Canis lupus familiaris: one gene and its partner. The protein of the gene in region 1 interacts with the protein of each later gene in a pairwise test. Links are inferred from orthologs where the notes say so. Each region holds a gene or a part of one and is shown on either strand. Other genes may lie near its edges.

Evidence for each region. The genes of interacting proteins can lie anywhere in the genome.
Region 2: the proteins of GNB5 (region 1) and GNG3 interact in a two-hybrid assay, tested with the Homo sapiens proteins (2 studies listed by BioGRID, with this or other methods). The link is inferred for Canis lupus familiaris from reciprocal best matches to the Homo sapiens genes GNB5 and GNG3.

The regions. Positions count from the first base shown.
Region 1 is NC_049251.1:18,132,343-18,135,988, forward strand, and holds part of GNB5 (guanine nucleotide-binding protein subunit beta-5), read right to left. Parts: intron 2,188-3,646; coding exon 2,139-2,187; intron 185-2,138; coding exon 88-184; intron 1-87. UniProt on the Homo sapiens protein: Enhances GTPase-activating protein (GAP) activity of regulator of G protein signaling (RGS) proteins, such as RGS7 and RGS9, hence involved in the termination of the signaling initiated by the G protein coupled receptors (GPCRs) by accelerating the GTP hydrolysis on the G-alpha subunits, thereby promoting their inactivation.
Region 2 is NC_049239.1:54,477,498-54,481,255, reverse strand, and holds GNG3 (guanine nucleotide-binding protein G(I)/G(S)/G(O) subunit gamma-3), read left to right. Parts: upstream 1-1,520; 5' UTR 1,521-1,986; intron 1,987-2,386; 5' UTR 2,387-2,387; coding exon 2,388-2,486; intron 2,487-2,752; coding exon 2,753-2,881; 3' UTR 2,882-3,254; downstream 3,255-3,758. Other genes in the region: BSCL2 (seipin), read right to left, coding at 422-666. UniProt on the Homo sapiens protein: Guanine nucleotide-binding proteins (G proteins) are involved as a modulator or transducer in various transmembrane signaling systems.

The DNA.
Region 1 (3,646 bases):
TCAGCTGAGGGAAAGCTTGATGGAAAGCTGGGTTTCATTTATATCCTGTCTTACAGCCCCAGGGAAGCTTCTAAAAGAAAATCTTACCACTGAGGGAGAAGTCCACACTGGATGCTCCAAATATGATACTCTCTTTGGAATAGATGGCAACCTCTCTGTCTGCCCGGAGGTCATAGAGACGACACTGGGGTGACAGAGAAGATAAAGGAACACTTAATTCTGGCTCCAGGTTGGTGAAGAGAGGGCCACAGGGCTAGAGGCAGGTGCCTATGGCTTGTGTAGTTGGAGGATGAGGGAAATACCTCTGGTTTCTTCCTCTAGTATTTTCTTCCAATTCCTATTAATTGGCATGGATCAGTGGAGATTCAAAGAAACAGCAAATACAGAAGATTTGGGAGAGGAATCAAAACCGAAAATGAAACCTCTTTTTTTCTGATAAAGGATACATACTCATAGTAGAAAATTCAGAAAAACTCAGAAATGCCTAAATAAAAATCACCCCAAATCCTAGAGGTATTTACTTACACATCGAGGCTATTTCCTTCAGTCTACTTCCATTTCATGCATATATTTAAATGGAGTGGGTATTTCCTTATCACTTCTATTAACATCAGGTTATGAGCATTTTTCTCATTAATCTTCAAAAAGACATGACTAACATGGTTGCTGAATATTTCTTATGTGGATATATCAGAATCTGTTTAACCATACCCTGTTAAGAGTTTTAATTATGTCTAATTTTTCTCCTTTATAACTAAAATTTGGGGGACCATTCTTAGGTAAATATCTTTATGCATATCTCTGATGTTTTCCTTAGAATAGTTAAGGAATAGAATCCGCAGAATAAAACTGTTTCAAGAAATAGTATGGCCAGATCAAAGAATAGGGATGTTTTGAAAGCTCTTGGATCATATGGCAAAACTGTTTTCCAAAAGAATGGTACCAATGGGCCTAACTCCAAGCTCTTTGACCACATCACCTCCACAATGCAGCATTTCACTGCTAATCTAAATGAGCAGTTATCACTTAAACTTGCATTTATTGGAATATGGGTGGTCTGATGGTCTGAAAATGTTTTTCAGGTGTTGATTTGCCATTTTGGATCTCCCATGTTGTAAAAAGTCTACATTTTATCCCCTTTTTAAAAATTGGGGTGTTTATCTTATTGATTATCCAACTCCATTCATATCTAAAGGATTTCAATTTGGTCATATAGATGGCAAAAATTTTTCATAGATGTATGCCTTTATATTTTGTTATACATTTTTTGACATATGGAAGTTTTACATTTTCATTTTCATTTTTAAAAAAGATCTTATTAATTCAGTTTATTTGTCTTCCCTCCGTCAAATCCTGAGCCAACCACTTTCCCCAGGCTGCCTATAGAGGTACAGCAAAAGGAACATGTAGGGCAGATGAGATATGGGAGAAATAAGTTCCAAAAGTATTAATTATACTGTATGCGGTCTGTAACCATGGTTTCCACTGAGTACACCCCTCATTCCTGAGATTTGGCAGCTCGGGGATAAGAAAGTGATCATCTGAACACTTAACAGTTAGAAAAACCCAAGTGTCTAAAAATTGACTAGTTAAGTACATAACAGCATTTCCATAACATGAAATACTATTCAATCACTAAGAAAATACAATGTAGATTGGCTACATTGGCATAGGAAAATGTTCACAATCAATTGCTAAGTGACAAAAGCAAATTATAAAGCATTTTGTTTAAAAATTAAAAAGACACAAAGGAATTCACCCAACTGTGATTTTCTTGGGTTGGGAGGTTAAGGTATTTTAATCCCCTACCATTTGCCTAAATGAATTCACTTTATTACTATAATAAAAAAAAACATTAATTTTGAAAAATAAAATTAGATCATTGCATATCTCTTTTTTTTAAAAAAATTATTTATTTTAGAGAGAGAGAGAGAGAGCACACATGCAAAAGAGTACAAATGGGGGAAGAGGGAGTAGCAGGCACAGTGCTGAGCCAGGAGCCTCAAACCCAGGATCCCAGGATCCCAGGATCCAGGATCATGACCTGAGCCGAAGGCAGATGCTTAACTGATTGAGCCACCCAGGCACCCCTGCTTCTCTCTTGGAATAGGATAAGCTGTCATAACATAGAAACATACCGTAGCATCATCTGATCCTGAAGCAAAGGCATCTCCACTTGGGTAGTACCTGCAGAGAGAAAGTTTGGATAGAAAGAGCCTTATTTAGAGTGGTGATTCTCAATCCTGGGTGCCTATCAGAATCATCTGGAAATCACCTGGGAAGGCTTGTCCCATGCCAGGCCTGTGGAATCTGAATCTGAATCTCTACTTCTAAGGACATAAGGACCACTCTTCATAGAGGCCAGAAAGGGAGGCTCATCTGGCTGGCCCACTGGCCTCTAGTTTTCTCCCCTTTTAAGTAGGGGCCTTGCAGAGCGTTGGTGAGGAGTAACTGAGATGATGTGTGTATCTGCACCAGGCACTGAACACAGAGCAGGCGGTCTGTAACCATGGTTTCCACTGAGTACACCCCTCATTCCTGAGATTTGGCAGCTCGGGGATAAGAAAGTGATCATCTGAACAGATACTGGAACCTTATGTACAGAGCCTCTGCACTGACCACTGCCTGCCTCCACGTGATACCTCTGGTGAGGGACTTTACCTTGCCCAGCCTCAGTTTCTGCATTTGAAAAGCAAGGATGCTCATGCATTTTCCCTGTTGTAAAGACCGAATCATATAGGCAAAGACCTAGGCATGGTGCCAAATGAAAAGCATTCAACAACTAATGCTTATTACTGTTCATTGTCTTCTCGGGAAGACATTGTCTTCTCCTTTTCCTGGGGAAAGGGAAGTCAACACTGAGACCTAGTGGATGTTAGAGGAAGTGGGGTCAGGGTAGGGGCAACAGCATGAGTGAGAGAATGGTGCATTTTAAAACTATATTCTGTGAATATATAGGGGTTTAGTTTATTTTTGTGGCTTTATATTCTGTCCTGCATTGTACCGCCTTCATTTATTATCTGTATTAATTTCCTTTGATTTTCTAGGTAATTACTGCACATTTGCCAAAAGTAATAGTCTTTTCCCTTTTTCTCTATCCTACAATTGAGGGCAAGGACCTAGAAAGTTCTTACTAACATAACATTTCTGTTGTTAATGTAAATAAGAACTGTTCTCTTGTTCTTCCTTTTAAGGGGAACAGGTCTAGTGTCTTTCCCATTAAGTATAATGAAACTTCTTAGATGATTCTATTTCAAATACTATCTTGACAGTGCCATCTTCCAAATTTACATGTCGAGTCCTTGCTTCTCTCTTGGATCCAGTGCATACATCCTGCTACCTACTCAACATCTCCACTTGGTTGTATGATAAGCATCTTTTTTTTTTTTTGTATGATAAGCATCTTAAATGTAACTGTCCCAAAGCAGAGCTCCAGAACCATGTGCAATAACCACATCCTACCTGTACTTCTTCCAGTCTTCCCTGCCCTAGTAAATGGATCACTGCTTACTGCCCCTTATGAATGGTTTGGGTTCCCAAGCTCAAGGTCCTTCTCTTGTAATGCAAACTCTGGCCTGTGCAGGTGTCATTTGGTCCTCTCTATTTCACCCTGTGGATTTGGGGTTCTGGCAACGAGCACAAAAAC
Region 2 (3,758 bases), on another chromosome or scaffold:
GACAGAGGGGACAAGCCTACTGGACTGGGTTTGAGGAACCAGAGATAACAGAACAGTCTTTGTTTCGGGTGGCCTCTCCCCAGGTGATTGTGTTCCTCCAGCAAACATCACTTCCCTTTCCCTTCCCTCTGCTGTCTTAGTTCCCAGTGCCAAAGTCGGCTGAACTTGTCTGTTGGACACGTGATTCTGGGACAGGCCACCTTGATCTCGCAGCAAAGCATCCCACTCGGGGGATGAGCACCTTAGGAGGCCGCCGAGTCCGCACCGCGAGGTGGTGCCCCGAGGGCACGCGGGACTTGCCTGGGGTCGTGCGGCCGCACTCAGAGACACCCCTCCCGAGTGATCTCCTCGCCGCCCAGAGCCCCCACCGGCCGCGCCAACAGCGCTGGCCGCTCGCCGGCCGCCGCCCATCCGCACTCACCAGTACGCAGGCAGCGGGAGCAACGGCAAAGGCACTTCCGCCTCCCGTGAAGCCCCGCCCCTTCCGCCGGCCGCCCCGGGGGCGCGGGGCGGGGGGCGGGGCCACTCCCGGGGCGGGGCCTGTCGGGCCGCGGGCTTCCCTCCTCCGCCAGGCGCGTGCGGTCTCTCCCCGCGGCCCGGTTCGCAGACCCCAGGGGACAGGCGAGGCCAAGACGTGACCCAGGGTGTGCTGTGAGTCAGCAGCATCCCCCTGGGCGCGCCCTCGAGGCCGCAATCCCCGCCCTCGGCCCACACCTTCACCCGCAAAGGGGAAGGGGGCGGGTATCCAGCTGGCGCTGATTTTTATCGCCCACAGCCCCTGGGACCTGTAGGCGTCCAAGGCAGGGCCCCTATCACAAGAGTGACAGCATTTCAGCTCCGTGTTTTGTCTCCAGCGCTTAGGATGTGATCCACCACCTCTGACCCTAACTGGACTCTCCCTCAGAATCCCCGCAGCGCGTTATGGACACTAGACCTTGGCAGAGGGTACCTTCTATTGTGTATATGACTCTTCATGCCATATAAGAGCCCTCAGAGCGTCAGGTTAACATTATGTACATCTTTGCATTTCAACAGCACCAAGCACAACGCTGCATGCCTGGGGGGTAATCTCTCAAACCGATACCCACCCTCCAAAACCCACCCAAGGAAGCCCATCTGTTTCAACGCCCAGTGACTTTCCCCGAAACCACAGTGCCCCCTACCTCTTCTTTGTCCGATTCTTTGATCTGGTATCTGCACGGCTCTTTTCCCCCAGCTTCTCCTCCTCCTTGTTCTTTAGGCATCTTCCTGATGCACCTTGTTGCCCCTTGATCTTCCACTCGAGCCACTTGTGGCTAGAACACGAAGTGCTTGGTGATCTAGAAGCTGATACCTGTAACTCATCACATTTTCCTAGATACAGAGAATGGAGGGTCCCTGGGAAAGAAAAGAAGATTCAGGTACTACATGCTATGTCAGAGGAGGGAGGAGGGAAAAGGGGGGCGACTGCCCAGCTGATGTCAGATTTTCAAATGAGCAGAGTCCCCCGCAGCCAGTACAGACTCCACTGCAGGCGATGTCACAGGTCCAGACCACCCCATTTAAGGGGGGAGTCAGCCTGGCCTTCAACTACTTCCAGCTCCTTCAGCTCCTTCCTAGCCCAGACTCAGAATGCTTGCAATGGGGGAAGGGCAGCTAGTGAGACAGTTCACAGTAGGGGGTGTGTACAGGGGCCGCAGTCAGCAGCCAGGCTCCCCCACTGGCCAGGCAGTTGGTATGTTCCAGGATCTGAGCAGCTTCTTCTAGCATCCTTCATCCTTCAGGTACCAGCGTCTGGGCAGTGCTTGAGCTGCAGGAACTGGGCCCAGCCCTCAACAGAACTCTGACCTGACCTCCCCAGTGGACTTCTCTGTATTAGCTCCTTCTGCTGCAGCAGCAAATACTTTCAACTGCAACTCCCTGCAGGTGGGGCACCCACCCATCTCGGGGCAGGCTTTGTGCACCCCACTGACTACTCCCCAGGGCTACCACTGCCGGTGCCTGCAGGTGAGTAGGGAGTATCCTGTTTTTCTCCCCCTGGGTCTCAAGGAGGCAGGTGGGGGTCATGTGTCCTCATCAGGGTGGGGCTCTTTCTGGTTGAGGCTTTCAGGGCTGGGAACACACAAGGCTGGAAAGGCTGAAAAGCCTTAAATCATTATGTCTAATGATCTGTGGGCCCAGGCCGTGTGTGAGTATGGAGGGCATTTCATCCCACTCTCTCCATTTCCTTAGCCCAGGAAGACAGGGATGGGAAAGGCCACTGGAAGATGAAGATAAGAGGAACAAAATATTGGGGCAGCCTTGTAAAGACTGATGAAAAATGAACATGGAGGGGGGTCTTCAGATGAGATTATGCAGCTCCTCACCTCCCACATCATACTCTGAGCTATTCCTTTCTTTTCTCTAGGATGAAAGGGGAGACCCCCGTGAACAGCACTATGAGTATTGGGCAAGCCCGCAAGATGGTGGAACAGCTTAAGATTGAAGCCAGCTTGTGCCGGATAAAGGTGGGCGGATCCTGGGTCCCCTCAGTTGGCCCAGTTGTGCTCTAGGTCCCCAAATCTCAGGTTAAGAGACGATTTCTTTCCTTGAGTCCCTGCGATCAGGGGAGGAGTCTCTGGCTCTGTGGGACAGTCCCTCTGAGGGGGATGAGGGAAGAGAATACTGTCCTAAGAAGCCCTAGAGATGGCAAAAAGATAACCCATTTGGGGAGGCAGGCTGCAGGCCCTCTCAGGGGATCTGGCTAACAACTCCCCTCCTGGCTGTGCCCCAGGTGTCCAAGGCAGCAGCCGACTTGATGACTTACTGTGATGCCCACGCCTGCGAGGATCCCCTCATCACCCCGGTGCCCACTTCGGAGAACCCCTTCCGGGAGAAGAAGTTCTTCTGTGCCCTCCTCTGAGTTGCCCTGTCCCTCCACACAAGCTCCTCACCTGTCCCTCTCCTGGGCCCTCCCTTAGGTTAGTAACTGTCGTGAGTCCCTGAGGGTCCCCGCATCCCACCCCTAGCCCTGTCCGACCCTGTGAGGTTGTCCGAAGCACAAGGCTCTCCATCACCGATCTGTCGACCCCGAGAACCCCCTGACCCAGGGACCCCTTAGTTCTATCCCCAGAAGGGCCGCCAGACTCTGCCAGCGTCCTGCCTGCAGGCTTCTCTGTGACCCGCTCAGACAATGGAGAGAGGCGCGGGCCGGGTGCTGGCTCCCAGTCTCACCTGGAGCTATGAGAAGGGTAAAGCCATTTGAAGAATAAAGGTATCCAGAGTCTCAGAAGACAGCTCCTGTGGTAGCCTTCTTGGGGAGAGGATCATCAGTCTGTGGATCTGGGAATGTGTGCGGCAGGTGAAAGACTTGCCATTCCCCGGGAAAAGGGCGGTCAAACCAGGCTAGACATCGCCTAGGATGGGAGATCGCCGGGACTGGGGAGACGGCGGGCGCGAGAGAGCCTCAAGTGGGAGAATTAAGTCACGACACCCAGAAGCTGCGGAGAGCAGTCACACACACACACGCACACGCGCGCGCGAGAGCACTGAACACAAGTGAAAATGAAAACAGACCGAACAGGATGGATTTAGGGAGGGCAGTCGCAGACCGCAGGAACTCAGGAACCCAGGGGAGGAGCTCGGCTCTGGTTCCTGCGAAGGGGCCGGTTTTACTTCTAAGATGGCAGCGCCCACAGCGTGCCCCTTTCCAAGATGGCCGTCGCCATAGGACGCGCGCCAATATGGCAGCCGCGCGTCACTGGGTTTCACCGTACAGGGCGTCCCAGCTAGCCCCATAC